Linked DNA regions of Lytechinus pictus. Each later gene encodes a partner of the first gene's protein in a complex. Links are inferred from orthologs where the notes say so. Each region holds a gene or a part of one and is shown in the gene's direction. Other genes may lie near its edges.

Evidence for each region.
Region 2: small nuclear ribonucleoprotein Sm D1-like (region 1) and small nuclear ribonucleoprotein G-like share a complex: the UniProt entries of both Homo sapiens proteins name them as parts of the SMN-Sm complex. The link is inferred for Lytechinus pictus from reciprocal best matches to the Homo sapiens genes SNRPD1 and SNRPG.

The regions. Positions count from the first base shown.
Region 1 is NC_087246.1:62,605,837-62,613,578, forward strand, and holds the start of small nuclear ribonucleoprotein Sm D1-like, read left to right. Parts: upstream 1-4,738; 5' UTR 4,739-4,981; coding exon 4,982-4,995; intron 4,996-7,742. Other genes in the region: coiled-coil domain-containing protein 113-like, read left to right, coding at 574-654. UniProt on the Homo sapiens protein: Plays a role in pre-mRNA splicing as a core component of the spliceosomal U1, U2, U4 and U5 small nuclear ribonucleoproteins (snRNPs), the building blocks of the spliceosome.
Region 2 is NC_087256.1:12,709,317-12,716,847, forward strand, and holds the start of small nuclear ribonucleoprotein G-like, read left to right. Parts: upstream 1-4,510; 5' UTR 4,511-4,647; coding exon 4,648-4,679; intron 4,680-7,531. UniProt on the Homo sapiens protein: Plays a role in pre-mRNA splicing as a core component of the spliceosomal U1, U2, U4 and U5 small nuclear ribonucleoproteins (snRNPs), the building blocks of the spliceosome.

The DNA.
Region 1 (7,742 bases):
GGAAAATAAGAAAAAAATCCTGGAAAATCCCCATTCCTTGCAATGTTAAAGCTTCTCCAATGTTGCAGGTTTAGGAAGTATGTCGAGAAAAATTGAAAATTTATTTGCCTGATGCAAATTGGTGCTTTTTGAACAGCACCCAATTGCGAAACATTTTTATGTGTTTGATATGTTAGTTATTTTTTTTCTTTGAATAGAGTGTAGTTTCATTAGTCGAGGGACATTTTTTTTTACAGTTTCAACTGGATCTCAATTGGCTGATGATAACTTTTCATCACAGTTTTTAATAGGAATGTTCAACTTGATGGAACAAAACATAATTTTTTCCAATCTGTTTCCATCTTTTCTTTTTTTATTTTTTTGCTTTCTACATTGAACTACAGGTTGATAATAAAAAAAAGTATATGATAATAATATTCCGCTCAAGTATTGCATGATAAAAAAAATAAATAGATGTTTACAAGATGAAGTGATACAATTTAGAAACAGGAATGCCCCAATTGGTTAATGTAAATTTGTTTTAATAGAACCTTTTCTTTATTCCTATATGTCCTTTCCTTCTTTTATTTGTAGATGGCCTTGAAGACGCATCGAAAGACGTGGCAACAGATGAGAATGTCCAGTGAACACCAGCAGTGGGGTGTCATTGCATAAATCTGTTCCAATTCCCTAACCTATGAACTATTGTTAGAATAATGACATGCCCCTGTATGCTTTTAAACTGGTAGGATCAGAGGAATTAATACCTGGTTCTTGGCTTCGCTTTTCCTATTCAAGGTGTGACAGTTGACGCAAATTGGGAACTGGGGAGTGTTTCATAAAGCAAGTACTCGGTGATTTTCACTGACTAAATTTTTCTGAGCCAATCAGATGAAAGGATTTCAGGAAAAAATAAAAAATTAGTCAGTGATGATAACTATTTGCTTCATGAAATGCTCACCTGGGGCCCGTAACACAAGGTTAGCAATGATCGTAGAACATTTTTCTACGATTGATTGCATTGACTACAATGTACAATCAATCGTGAAAATTAATCGCTAACCTTTGTGTTACGGGACCCTGGACTTGATACTTATTGCAGCATGAATTGTACCTGTACCACAAGTTTATATCCTTCATTGGGGACAAGAACAATAATGTGAAAATATGTATAGTATATATAATAGATTTATATTGTTCATCATTGTAGGCTAGGGGCCGAGGGTATTCTAAACATTGTCTTTTCTCAGAGATATGACAGAATCTGTATTCAGGTGGATGTCATAACTTTTGTCATTAAAACTGTCTTGAATTTTACATCTTCTCTTTATCACGCTAAAAAAATACACAGTTCATGAATGCGCATAATCCCAATATACAAGCAAAAGATATGACAACATTTATGACAAAGCCTAGTAGTCATTAATTTTGTGATTTCGTTTGGTACCATAATATCCCGATAACCTGCCGACTAAATATTTAGGTTGGATTGTTGTTTTAGTTCCACTCGTCATCCATGACTATTTTCAAAAATGTTTTTTCATGTTACAAGTAGTTGGGCCCTACATATTAATTCCTCCTTTTTTATGTTTTCCTCTTTTTAAAAAATCTCTCTTCTAATAATCCTTCACAGCTCCCTGTTTTTATTTGTAATTAAGCGTGTCAATATACGCGCAGTCACGCGATGCCAGCTATATATCAAGGATGTGCCACCGGGCCTTCCTGTTGGTTAGAAGGGCTCCCACTCGGAACTAACAGTGATTTTGATTGGTTTGCTTCCGAAAAGATGGGCGGGAATATGGGAGAAAAATGACAGAGGAAGGACAATGTTCAGAATACCGATTTGTGACAATCATAGCGGTGTCACATCTCAGGAGAGAAATTACAAAATTTATGACATGGTTCCAGAATACCACCCCAGATCTAGAACTGCAAAAACATGTACATGTGTATAAAGAGTTTCCATTGTTTTTTATACAATGATCTGGATTCATAAACAGTGGATTTTGATATGTGCATGAATTCCCTCAGTATCTATCAGTGACTATGAAAACAGAAACAATAATACTTTTCTGTGCATTACAGCAAGGCAACCAGGTTGTCATTCCAGTATTAAAGATGGAAGGGAAACATCTTCAATTTCCAATAGCTTTCATTATCTCGATTGATCGAGCTGTACTGACCAACTTTGGCAAAAGGAAGCAAGTGACACATCAGTCAAATTTGAGTTATTGTTGTTTCTGAAACACCCTTTGTATGTTGCACGTTCAGGCAAAATATGGGGAAGAAATTATCGTTCTATGGAAAAATATTGAAGAAAACATGCTGTTAAATTGCATTGACGCCTATGTAAATGACTAATACACATTGCTCATTTACACCAAATGATACTTTTGTAACTTGCTTAATTTTGCCAAAGTACGGCAGCATAGCCATGATGTTTTCCCTCTCTGTAAACTTTATTCATTGTATATTCATTTGAAGTAGAGAGCAGAAATTCACTGTGATGAAAACAAATGTAGAAAGAAGCACAGAAGTATGAAATGTTTTTGTTATTCAATGAAAGACACACGTAAGGTTTATATTGTGTATTATGAATGTGATGATCAGCAATGAAAAGAAGCTTGCAGCACTCCTGTGTGAAAGGTGCAGGTCTGACTTTCATGAAAATGCCTTTAGCATTCATCTGAAAGAGAAAAGTACTACTCCATATTATTGAAATAACGACCACGTCTGTGATGTTCCTAACATATAATAAATGATGGTGAACCAGCAATATAACAATAATTCAGAAATAATAAAATGCATATGCATTTATGATGCTCATAATATCTGCTAATTGCATTTTAATTCTCTTATTTTTTTCATTCATGATACAAGTACATCCCTGCTATACATGTATTGCAACATATTTTCGATGATTGTAGATTCTGATGCAACTTCAATTTACATTTTATGAAAATATTTATATTTTGGGGAAAGTAAGCATTTGGAATTAGACTTGTCCATTACTTCGTGCATCGACTCACATGTTGAAAGAGTCATAAAATACTCCGTCCAAAATCAATCTTCTGAAAGGTCAAGTCCTCCTCAACTAGAAATTGATTTTAAAAAAAGGAAAAAAAAAACAAGCAAGTATAATGCTGGAAATTTCATCAGAATTTTTTATGAAGAATTGGGTGTCGAAATAAGGATATAACCTTTCAAAGTTTCGCTTATTTTCTCAAAGTAGTTGATGTGCACAACACGTGTGAAATTTTGAACATTATGCTTGTTTTTATCCTTCTCTACTACAATTTTTAGTGTTTTTGTTTACTTCTTGGGTTGGACTTGACTTTTAAAGAGAAAGATCACCTTGATTAGATCATCATTTCCAACATATTGTGAGTAAATGTTTATTTTGAAGAAGAAAAATTGTTGCAAAACCAGTATTTATATATATTATATATAAAATAATGTTCTATGAATTATTGATCATTTGTGGCATTTTGATAATGTGCCTACACTACAGATGAGAACATGTGTATATAAATTATAAATGAAAATATGCATTACCTCCTTTGTTTATACTATTCAATGTATGTTTCGCCTTATTTTAGATTTAAATTTCAAGTTATTTCCACTCATAGAGATAACATAAAACATAGATAAAAAGCAACTAAGTATTATTTAGATATTTCAGATTTAAAAATCTTTATATTATTGTTTCTTACTCGATATACTGTTTACTGAAAATAAAATATTTGTTAACTGACAAGAGAAACTGCTTATTTCTATTTCAGAGACTACCCTCCCCCACCCCCCCCCCAAAAAAAAAAAAAAAAAACAAGGAACAAGATAAAATGAGAATGAAAAAAAATGAATGTTTGAAGTTGACAAACTAAATTGAATGAGATGCTGTATATTCGATCAGTAGCAGGGACAGTGCTACAAGGAGTGTCTGCCCCTGTGACTTCTAAAAGTAATGGGGAAAAGAAAAAGAAAGGGAGAAAGCCCGGGAGAAAGACAAGAGCATGGAAGAGAGATGACATGTGTCATGTGACTAGTCAAATATTCTCCTTTGGAAAAGAATATAAAGTGTAAACGAGTGAGAGTAATTCAAATAGAAAGGGAAGGGACAGAGGGAGAGAGAGAGTTGGGGAGAGAGAAAGATGGGGATGCATGGATTCTCTCTTTTGCAGTGCCTTCTCCCCCACCTACCCTTTTCCCTTCGGTCTCTGTCTCTTAATTTCTTGTTTCCATGTCCCTTCTTTATTTCTTTAATTCAGATAATTATATACATATTTTTCTGAAAGTTTTTTCAATTCTTTATTTGGCTTCGTTACCAGCGGCACTGTCCCATCAAATGCAATCCTCTCCCTATTAAGTGGGGGCTTTGTCTTGGATCAGGTAAAACAAATTATATTCTGATTCTTTGAGATAAAAATCCGTTCGAAGAATGAATATAAGTAAAACCTTAAGCCAATATCCACCCTTGCACCCCTTCCCCCCCTCTCGCCAAATATATTTACAAACACTATACTATACATCAATAAAAAAGAACATAACACAAAGGTTTCAATCTTATCCCATTTTTAAAGGGCAGTACTCCCCCTCCCTTGATCAAGTGTTAACTCCTAGCTCCTAGATCATTACTTTATTGAAGGAAATGGAAAAAATAAATGCAATAAAGATAACATCATTAGATTCTAAATAGCTAAATCTATCAAAATTTAAATGTTAAGTTTCCGTTCCTGTTTCATAACAGGAGTTTTAAATCGTGATCAGGCTGTCAGCGGTAATTCACTTCCAAGTAAATGCCACCGGGAAATGCCAGTGAAATGATTTTTCTTGGGGCAATTTTAACTTGGCTAAATTGACGCTGGCGCGGCGGGCGCGACATCTGCATGCATGACTTGGTTTGCTGCCATCTGCGTCAGCCACAGTCCATTGTTTTGGTACACGCGCGTCGATTGAACGTCCAATTTTTATCGTCGGATGCTGATCGCAATCCGACATCATCATGAAGCTAGTCAGGTAATTATCAATTTTTATTCAATAATTATTAATTGATGGATCTATTTGACCTGCATCATGAAAGTCTTAATCTTACTTGTATGGTTTATGGTTTATTTTCACATTACATGTCGGTTTATATGACACCCATGAAAATGAACGAGTGGGACTGAAGTAGTGAAGATAGGTTGGATGGAAGCCCTTGCATTTTAGCAAGCTAAATACCGGGGCTCGCCCTTGTCAGTAGTGATGAATATTTGTACAATATTGGTATAATTTGGAATAAATGTAGATCTACTGATAGATACCAGGATGTTTCATGAAGTGTCATCGAACGTTATTGTCGATATTTTACAATGTTTTATTAATAATAATATTTTAATATGATTAATATCGACTTGTCACAATTGTGTCACGACAAAACGGCTGCACCGTCTGTAGACTAGTGTTTCCGAATATGGTTTATCGCTTATCAGAACCGCAATGCATAATGGGATCGGAAAGGGGGCTGGAGAGCAACGGCCCCCTTTGCGATCCCATAATAATGCATTGCGATTCTGATCAGTAGAGGCGCACGGCCAATATTGGAGACTGTCTCCAATGTGGGAGATTATCTCCAATATCAGAGACTTTTGTAAAGAATTTGGGTATCCAATTTCAGAGACAGTCTCCAGTTTTGGAGACCAATTTCCTTTGTTTACATTTGCTGCAAAAGGATTACCTTGGCGGCAAATAAAAATGTGATAAGCAGATTCCTCATGAGAAATTACCCCTTTTCACCGTCTACTTTAAAAATTCACCATCTACTTTTGTTTTGATAAGGATTTTTGTTGTCAATCACACACAAAACAAATGGGCTTCTGACCTCAGTGAGACAAAATTTTGGGTGGAAAAAATCATGCTTTTGTTGGTGTTGTTTCTTTTGTCCTTTTGCAAAGCAAGTCTCCAATGTGGGAGATTGTCTCCCCTATTGGAGAGAGTCTCCCATATTGGCCGTGCGCCTCTACTGCTGATCATTAATGATACTGATAATAAATTAATACAGTAATACTAATAGTTAGACTTAGAGGTGCACGTAGCCAGGCGGCTTCTTTTTTGAGAGTAAAAATCATTTACTAACGTAAGGTCAACGTTCTCGCCAGGTTCATTCTGACGCTTGGCGGCGCGAAGCGATGATACGCAAGCCGCGCAGCTACTATTACTACTACACGGGGGGGGAGGGTCGCGGGAGGGGGGTGTCCCCCCTCCCGCGCGGAGCGCGGTAGCTATCGAAAATATCAATATCGACGAGCTTAGATTGCTGCTAAATGCACCACATTTGATGTCTATTTAATGCTTCTCCGGCCACACAGCCGTAACGGTTGCGCGAATTGCGATCGATTGAAGCAGAAAGGCAAGTACTGATGAAAAAGGTCAAAAGAAAAGATTTAAATTCAATCTCATTTTATACTTACAGTTTATAGATTTATTCACATCAATGACATCGATAACGTACTCCATACTTTCCAATGTCTAGATCGCTACGTCCTTAGAAAGTGCGATTCATTTTGTGAATGCGTGTCAATGACCGACTACATCTACGGACCGCATGCGCGCCGCGCCACGCCCTTACTCAATCCAAAGATTGTTCCGACTTTGTTTGGAAGCCTCGGAAGAAAACTTCCGAGGCTTCCAAATAATGGGCATCGGTATTCATGAGACGATATAATTTGCATGTTTGTTTTGTTTTCAGATACTCACTGAAACTATGACTCTCATAATTAAGACTTCTGCTGATGATGTTTATACTAATAATATCCAATCAAGATTCGTTTATCACTGTCAATTATTGCTATGTTCATTTGTATTGTTCTATACTCGCCTATAAAATAATGAATGTGTCCATCACGAGCGGGAGAAATATTTTTAGTCATTCATCATACTTTAATATTACGATTTTGTTCTTATTATAATTAATTGCGATTTAAAATGTTTTAAAAGTAAAGCTTAATTGACAGGAAAGTAGATTTATACTCACTGTCAATTATTCCTATATGTTCATTTGTATTGTTCTATACTCGCCTATAAAATAATGAATGTGTCCATCACGAGCGGGAGAAATATTTTTAGTCATTCATCATACTTTAATATTACGATTTTGTTCTTATTATAATTAATTGTGATTTAAAATGTTTTGAAAGTAAAGCTTAATTGACAGGAAAGCAGATTTGTATTTTTAAATAATGCACTATGTAGGCCTACAAATACAGCGTGTGTGAAAGAGAGGAAGAGGGGGGGGGAGGGTTGTAGCTAGGATGGTCGAAGGGGGAGCGCGAAAGGGGAGGGGTCGTGGCGTGGACAATGACAAGGGGATGTTGAGATCGTGCGTGTGTGTGGGATTGGTGAAGAAGTCAATATTCGAAGCGAATGCATATTTATAGACATGTCTATACTACTACTGATGATGACGGCTGAATAATCTTTCTTTACATGTATATTTTGGCGATTTTAAATTTTTTAAATATTTTCTTTCATCATGAGTGGGAAGATCGAGGTACGTGATTCAATAAATTGCATCAGTTATGTTACAGAAATTCACGAACAGATTATTAAAATTGAAAAAAAAAAAGAGTCAGAAAGATCTTTTTATAGCCCCCATCCAGCGTAAACAACATGAAGAATATTTGAGGTCACGAAACCAGCTGATTCGCATTCATACAACAGGTTAACAGGTCACGCACATGGTACACAGTCATTCCAAGGGCGGGAATTCGGGGAAACCCGTTTTC
Region 2 (7,531 bases), on another chromosome or scaffold:
ATGATCTATTATTTGGAATTAGTACTCCATATTCAGTGTCAATACGCGTTTTTTGGGGTCACGCATGTGTACAGCAGTTGACTGCCCCCCTGGGCAAACATATAACACTTAAAATTTCATCAAATCGGATGTAAAATAAGTAAGTTATGACATTCAAAACTTTCGCTTGGCACAAAATAGTTATATGTAAATGAGGCCCGGAAATGAGGGGACTGATGACATCACGGTCCACTCACTTTAATTATTTTTTTTGTATTTCAATAGGGCCTATATGAAATGTATAATATTATTCTCATCATCCGTTGCGAAACAATGTTTAATCCTCTCGTTAACATTAATTGTGGTTCAGTCAAGTTGGTCCTTATTGTCAAATCTGTAAAAAAAAATTGATTGAAATATTGTACAATAAACAATATAAAAATAAAAGAAATGGTGAGCGAGGGCAGTGGCGTACCGTGGGTCACGACATTGGGGGGGGGGGCACCAGCAAACAAAATGGCTAGGTATACTGACCTAGGACATTTTAAGGACAGTGCCATTAAATGGATATGTATGTCACTGATCAAATAATGCGAGCGCGAAGCGCGAGCTGAAATTTTTTGATATTCAGACCTAATAAGGGACATAAAAAAACAAATTTTTGTAATCATGATACGTACCTGTCTCGCTAAACAAACAATGCGAGCGCGAAGCATGGGCCGAAATTTTTGTATATATTGACACCAAACAGGGATATTCTAAGGATTATCTTTTTAAGGAATCCATTAAGAGGATATATATCTCACCATAGTCATCTATTGCGAGTGCCAATCGCCTGCTGATTTGTTAGAATTACATTTAAACACACGAAGCACTTTTTGTAGTCATTGTAATCATGATTATCATACGCATCCCACTTATCAAATATTGCGAGCGCGAAGACCGAACTGAATATTTAGGAAATGCAGACCTGAGGAGGTGCATTCTAAAGCCCCAGTCACATATAGACCCCGGACCACCCCGGACCATCCCGGATCTGATCCGGGGTGGTCCGGGGAGAGATCCGTGTTGGCGCCTTGGGCATCCTTGGAGGTCCGGGGTGGTCCGTGTTGGTCCTTGAACGTCCGGGAGGCCAACACGGCAGTTTTTGACTGTCAAAAACATCCGGCGTCATCCGTGGACTGCCGGGTTGGCAAAGCCATCCGGGATGGTCCGTGTAGCTGCCGTGTAGGTCCGTGTGGCTGCCGTGTAGGTCCGTGTAGCTGCCGTGTAAGTCCGTGTGGCTGCCTGGAGTATCCTTGGCAGTCCGTGTTCTTTTTTCCCATCAAATATTTACAACGCTATTTACTTTATGAACTTCAGTAGTTGTTAAACAGTTGACACAAACATGCTCAATTTATTTATGATTAAATGGATGATTAAATGATTCAGGATATTTTCTTACGCTTTGGATATTGGCCCCAACCTAATATTTGTAAACTTAGTGCATGTATGAATATTTTTTTTTCTCTCTTTTTTTTCTAATATTTACCCCAACTTTGTCTGTTATTATTATTTCACATTTCATTTTTTTAAAATATGTTATATGTATATAATTTATGTAATGTACCTGTTACATCGAAATTGTACATTAAGTGTTATACTACTGCCCTGCATCGACAGTTATGCGTCATGACCTGGGCCTATCTTAATTTTTATTATGTTTTCTATTGACTTTGTAAATTTCTTTCCTTTATTGTGATTTCAATAAAGTGATATCAAATCAAATCGAAATTAAATTTGTCGTTCAAGATTTAAAGTACTTAACAACTACTTTTAAAACAGTAAACTGTGTTGTATAAAAAAAACAGCGTTTTTACTGGTTACGGAAGTTTTGAGTTTTGATATATTTTTAAAAAACAACATAATATAATGTTGCGACAAGGATGAGAAAAAAATAAATAAATAGATAAATAAATAAATAAAAAATTAAATAAATAAATATCAGCTCATTATTATGAACAGATTTTCATTTGCCGTGCTGGTCAATATAGCTGCCGTGTTTGTCCTTGAGCTGACGTGTTGGTCCGTGTAGCTGACGTGTTGGTCCGTGTAGCTGACGTGATGGTCCGTGTTGCTGACGCGTTGGTCCGTGTTGGTCCTTGTAGCTGACGTGTTGGTCCGTGTTGCTGACGTGTTGGTCCGTGTAGCTGACGTGATGGTCCGTGTTGCTGACGTGTTGGTCCGTGTTGCTGACGTGTTGGTCCGTGTAGCTGACGTGTAGGTCCGTGTTGCTGACGTGTCGGTCCGTGTTGACGACGTGCTCTGCCGGCATGGTCCGTGTAGATCCGTGTGAAGCTGCCGTGTTGATGCCGTGTTTACAGTCATCCGGGGCAAAGCTATCCCGGACCTCCCCGGATCATGCCGGCATTGCCGTGTTGATCCGTGTCTATATGTGACTGGGGCTTAAGGCTTGTTTGTAGGAATTTACTTATACCATACGTATTTCACTAACCGAATGATGCGAGCGCGAAGCCCGAGCTGAAACTTTTGATATTCAGATAAGGGACCTTTTAAGACCTTAAAATGGGGCAATTAATTTAAAAGGATGGTCCAGGCTGGAGATATTTATAACTCATATAATAGAGTAAATTCACAAAATGCTGAAAATTTGATCAAAATTTGATTACAAATAACAAAGTTGTTGAATTTCAAAGATTCGCAATATTCTGGTGAAGCAGTTCTAGGCATGCAATGCATGTCTTCATGAATATTCATTAGGTGGGTTGATGATGTCATATCCCCACTTGTTCTTTTGTATTTTATTATGTAAAATCAAGTTTATTAAAAAAAATTCTACCAAGAGCTAAAACAAGTGGATTGACAACTGATTAAGTGCATTAGTTTTTTATTGGTGCAGCTTCCTTCATCATAATGGAGACACATTTACACATCATCACATGTATGAAATTTCTTTTAAAAATTATGATTTCATGTAATAACATAAGAAAAGGGAAAGTGGGGATATGACATCATCATGACAATGTGCATATAATTGTTTTCACAATATATTGATAAACTTTAAAATTTAATAACTTTATTATTTGTTATCCGATTTTTATGAATTTTTTTTTTCCTTTGTGAATTTTACTCTATTTATTTAGATATAAATATTTTTAGCCCGGACTATCCCTTTAAGTAAGTAGTCATGAAAAAGAAATATATGTCACTACATAAAACAATAATAACTCGAAGTGCGAGGAAATAATATATGCGGTGTATATTGACTTGAAAAACTTGAACAGGATCATATATCTCGTTAAACAGACAATGCGAGCACCCGGAACAAGGAAGACATAGGCCCTGAGCGAATTATGTTTCATAAAGTTATAAAAAAATGTTTCTTATGTAATATAACATAACGTAGTTATTATTATAAATATAATGAACAATAATTTATTCTTTCCCGATACGTTTTTCTTCCTTTCTCCCTCTTTTTCTCCTTTTCCCCGTTTTTTTTTGCCAGCCGATTGGGGGGAGGGGGGCACGTGCCCCCATGCCCCCCCCCCCCCGTAGTTACGCCACTGAGCGAGGGACATCATAAAATCTTTTATTTGAATAGGAAATGTGCAAGAACTGTTTTCTGAAAAATAGGTGAATCTTCAACATGTCACAACTGTCTTATTTTATAACGGGTTCGATGAAATTTTCAGCGTTATGCTTTTTAATATTTTGTTTATTTATTCAAATCAATATTTTTCTTTGGTGGCGAACTTGACCTTTATTAAAAGTCCGTTTGAACATTGGCAAGGGATAATCTTGAGCCTATACTGACGCACACAAACAACCCAGCACAATGCGTTCTGAATCTGTGGTACGACTATTATGCTGTTCTTTACTCATCTTCCGCACATTGTACAAAATAATTAATTCGAAAATATACCTGGCATCAAAATATTAAATTGAACAGAGCAGGGGCGGATCCAGGATTTTCCAAAGAGGGGCACATTTTCCCGAGGAAAAATTTGACAAGCAAAAAAAAAAAAAAGGATTTCAACCAAAATTCAAGGATATTTCGTCCACGAAAATTTTTGACAAGCAAGAAAAAAAAATTAATTTTTTTTTTCAACCATATAGAACATTTCGTCCACGGTCTTCACTTTTAAGGGGGGTGGGGCACACTTGTGTTTTAATAGCATCTTTAAATTACAAATTTTAATTGTGCCTCTCGAAAGGGGGGGGGCGCACGGGTCGGCTGTGCCCCCCCCCCGGATCCGCCAGAGGAACAGAGACCCTGAGAGAGAGAGAAAGAGAGATAGGCCTAATTGACAACCATCTTCTTCTTATGTTGGTTTGAGTGGCGAGTGTGTGTGTGTATTTGAGTTTTGTCAGACGTGTATCAATCAGATATGATTATTTACGTCTGGGACCGACCTTTAACGTCACTATCCGAAAGACGTGACCAGGGCTCGAACCTCGAACCTCTGCATCAATTTGTAACTTCCCCACAGCTTGGATTACAGGCGCACGCCACAACGCCTAGTGGTTGATTGCCGATACCATACAACGAAAGAAAAAAAAATAGTCTTTTGACTTCACAAATTCGGATCGTTTCTGCTTCGCCTTTTCGGAACCCAAACTGAATCTGATTTAAATCTTCAGAAATCTTTGCGATCTTCTCACCAAATCATGAGTAAAGCACATCCACCAGAACTCAAGAAGTATGTTTATATAATTTCTCGTTTTCAAGGAGTATATTGAAGGATAGCCCATTGTGTTGACTGTTAAATCTTTGCGCTAGGATAGCTGCTTCAGAATTAGCGTTTGGCGAATTTATGTGCGCTTGCCTTGATGATTATTTAGATTGGAAATATTTTGTAATATAATTGCATGGAATAATCCTTATAAATAGTGGTAGAGTCTAGATGCTACTCCGAAATGTGTTCCCATTCGTTTTTTGTGTTATGAATGTGATGTTTTCTTCCTTTTTCACACTACGCGTCTTGATCATGTGGGGCATCATTTGCATTTTTGATGGAGTTGACGGAAAGTCCCATTCATTTATTTTGATGTGGTGCGATGGGTAACGCGCGTGCAGTAGGAGGGGGTCCATTGACATTGTGATTGTCCGGACATTGGCGCTAATTGCAGTTTCGCAGCTTTCTCCACACAAGTTACTAGAAATCCCAGAAATTTGACATGTGGCTGTGAAGATGTGCTAGCACCAATGCAATGGAGCATGCCAGTCAATCATCAATGACAATGTAAACATGTTGATTCAAATTAAAAACAAGTCAAGTCAGAAAACTTGGATAAATGGCAAGTCATTATGCATTTATGGATGGTCGGGACTCAGGGTGACCAGATTTCACAAAATGATATATGGGACAATCGACAGCATGCTGCACGAGCGGATCAACAAAGAAGGCTACACATTGTTAGACTTGTGAAAAAATATTTAGAATTGGAAGGGAGGGTGAACAAAAGAATGAAGGAGAGAAAGTAAAGACGAACGAAAAGAGATGAATTCAGAAGAAAGAAAGAAAACAATGAAGGGAAATGAAAAAAATAAAAAGAAAGTTAGAATAAAAGAGAAAAAAGGTTTCCGTCATTCTTTGAAACGAATATAGAAAGAAAAAAAAAGGAAGGGAAGATGAATAAATGTGTGAAAGACAAAATAAAGGAGAGAAAGGAAAAAAGAAAGTAAGATAAAAGGAGGAGGAAAGAATGAAGAAAAACAGGAATGGAGGGAAAGAAAGAATGAGGGAAAAGAATTAGAAGGAAAGGAAAAAAATAAAATAAAGAATGAAAGAGAGGGAGGAGAGAATGAAAATAATAATGCAGGCCTCTACAAAAAAAAATTCATCACTTGCCCTGTCGGGCAAGTGATAAAAAAATTTGCTTGCTCGATAGAAAAAACTGCTTGCCCGATTTTTTTTCAAAAATTCTTTTGCTCTTAATTATTCTTTTCTGTCCTGGCTGAACTTGATTTACTGGCGCTGCCCTTGGCATTTCTTTTTCTTGTTCAAGTTGTTCTGGCCTTCATTCTTGGAAAGAAAGAAGAAAACAGGAAGGAAGGAAGAAAGGGAAAAAGTATAAGGGAAAAGAATAAGGACAAAATGAAATAAATAATGAAAGAAAGAAAGGAGGAAAGAGAGGGAGGAAAGAATGAAGGGAGGCCAGAATGAAAAAAAAGAAAATAACGGAAGGAGAGATAGAACGAAAATAAAAACGAGTGGAAGGGAGAAGAAATGAAGGAAATAAAAAAAGGAAATGCAATAAAGAAGGCAAGTAAGAGAAAGAAGGAAAGAAAGAAAATGAACAGAGAGAGAGAGGGAGAAAGGATCAGGAAATAAAAATAGATATGTAACAAAAAAGGGCAAGAAGGATAGAAAAGAAAGAAAGAGGAAAAAGTTCAAACTTCAAGCAATTAAAAACAATCCAATCATATAACAAAAATCCTAATGATATTTGGTGTTTCTTTTATATATAAAAAAAAAAAAAAAAACTAAAATGTTTTAGAAATGAATAAAATACGGGACGTCTGGTCCTGGCCGAGTCAGTCCGAAGCTTGCATGCATTCAGCGCGATCTAGCTCGAGACTCGGCTGGCTCGATCGCGATCGCTCGTGTACGTCCGTACATGCGCTCAGAGGGCGAGAGAGGGGTTTCCCCAGCTAGCTCCTTCGTCGATTAGTAGCGCATGCGCACATTGTAGTTTAGAAAGTAAGATGGCAGCCTCCATCGAACGGGACGCGTACCGCTGGCGATAAATTGTCGCCTTTTGTTGGTAAATTGGCGCTGATTTGACATGTTTCCACTGTTTTTTTACTGGTATGACATTGTATGAGAGATAATTGGCCGATAATTGCAATTTATCAAAAAATTATTAAACTTTACTGTCAATTTATCTTGTTCATTTTCAAAACAACCACTTGCCCGATCGGGCAATTGACTTTGAGAAATGCTTGCCCGCACGTCATTTTCACTTGCCCCGGGCAAGCGGGTTTGTCGCGCCCTGATAATGGAAGGAGAGAAAGAACAAAAAGAAAAGGGAGAAGGAAGCAAAGAAAAGTTTAAGGAAAGGAAGAATGAAGGAAATAAAAAAATAAATTTTGAAAAAGAAGGAAAGTAAGAGAAAGTGGGAAATAAAGAAAAATGAACACAGAGCTAGAGAAAGGATCAGAGAAGAAAGATAGGAAATAAAGATAGATGGAGCAGAAAAAGGGCAAGCAGGAAGGATAGAAGAATGAAGAAAGAAAGATATAAAAGAAAGAGGAAAAGTTCAAACTTCAAGCAAACAAAAAAATCCAATTGTCTAACAAAAATCATAATGATATTTGGTGTTTTTTAAATATATTTTTAAAAGCTTAAAAAAATAAAATGTAATAGAAATGAATAAAATTTCAAAGTGAAACATTGTCAAACTTAAAAATATACATCATACACAGGCATCTCTCATCCCATTACAAGTTGCACCGATCACAACAAGACTCAAAACCAAAGCTGAAACAACTAGATCTAGTTATGAAAACTCAATAACTTGTTCCTCCAATTACATCTCCAAATCAGTA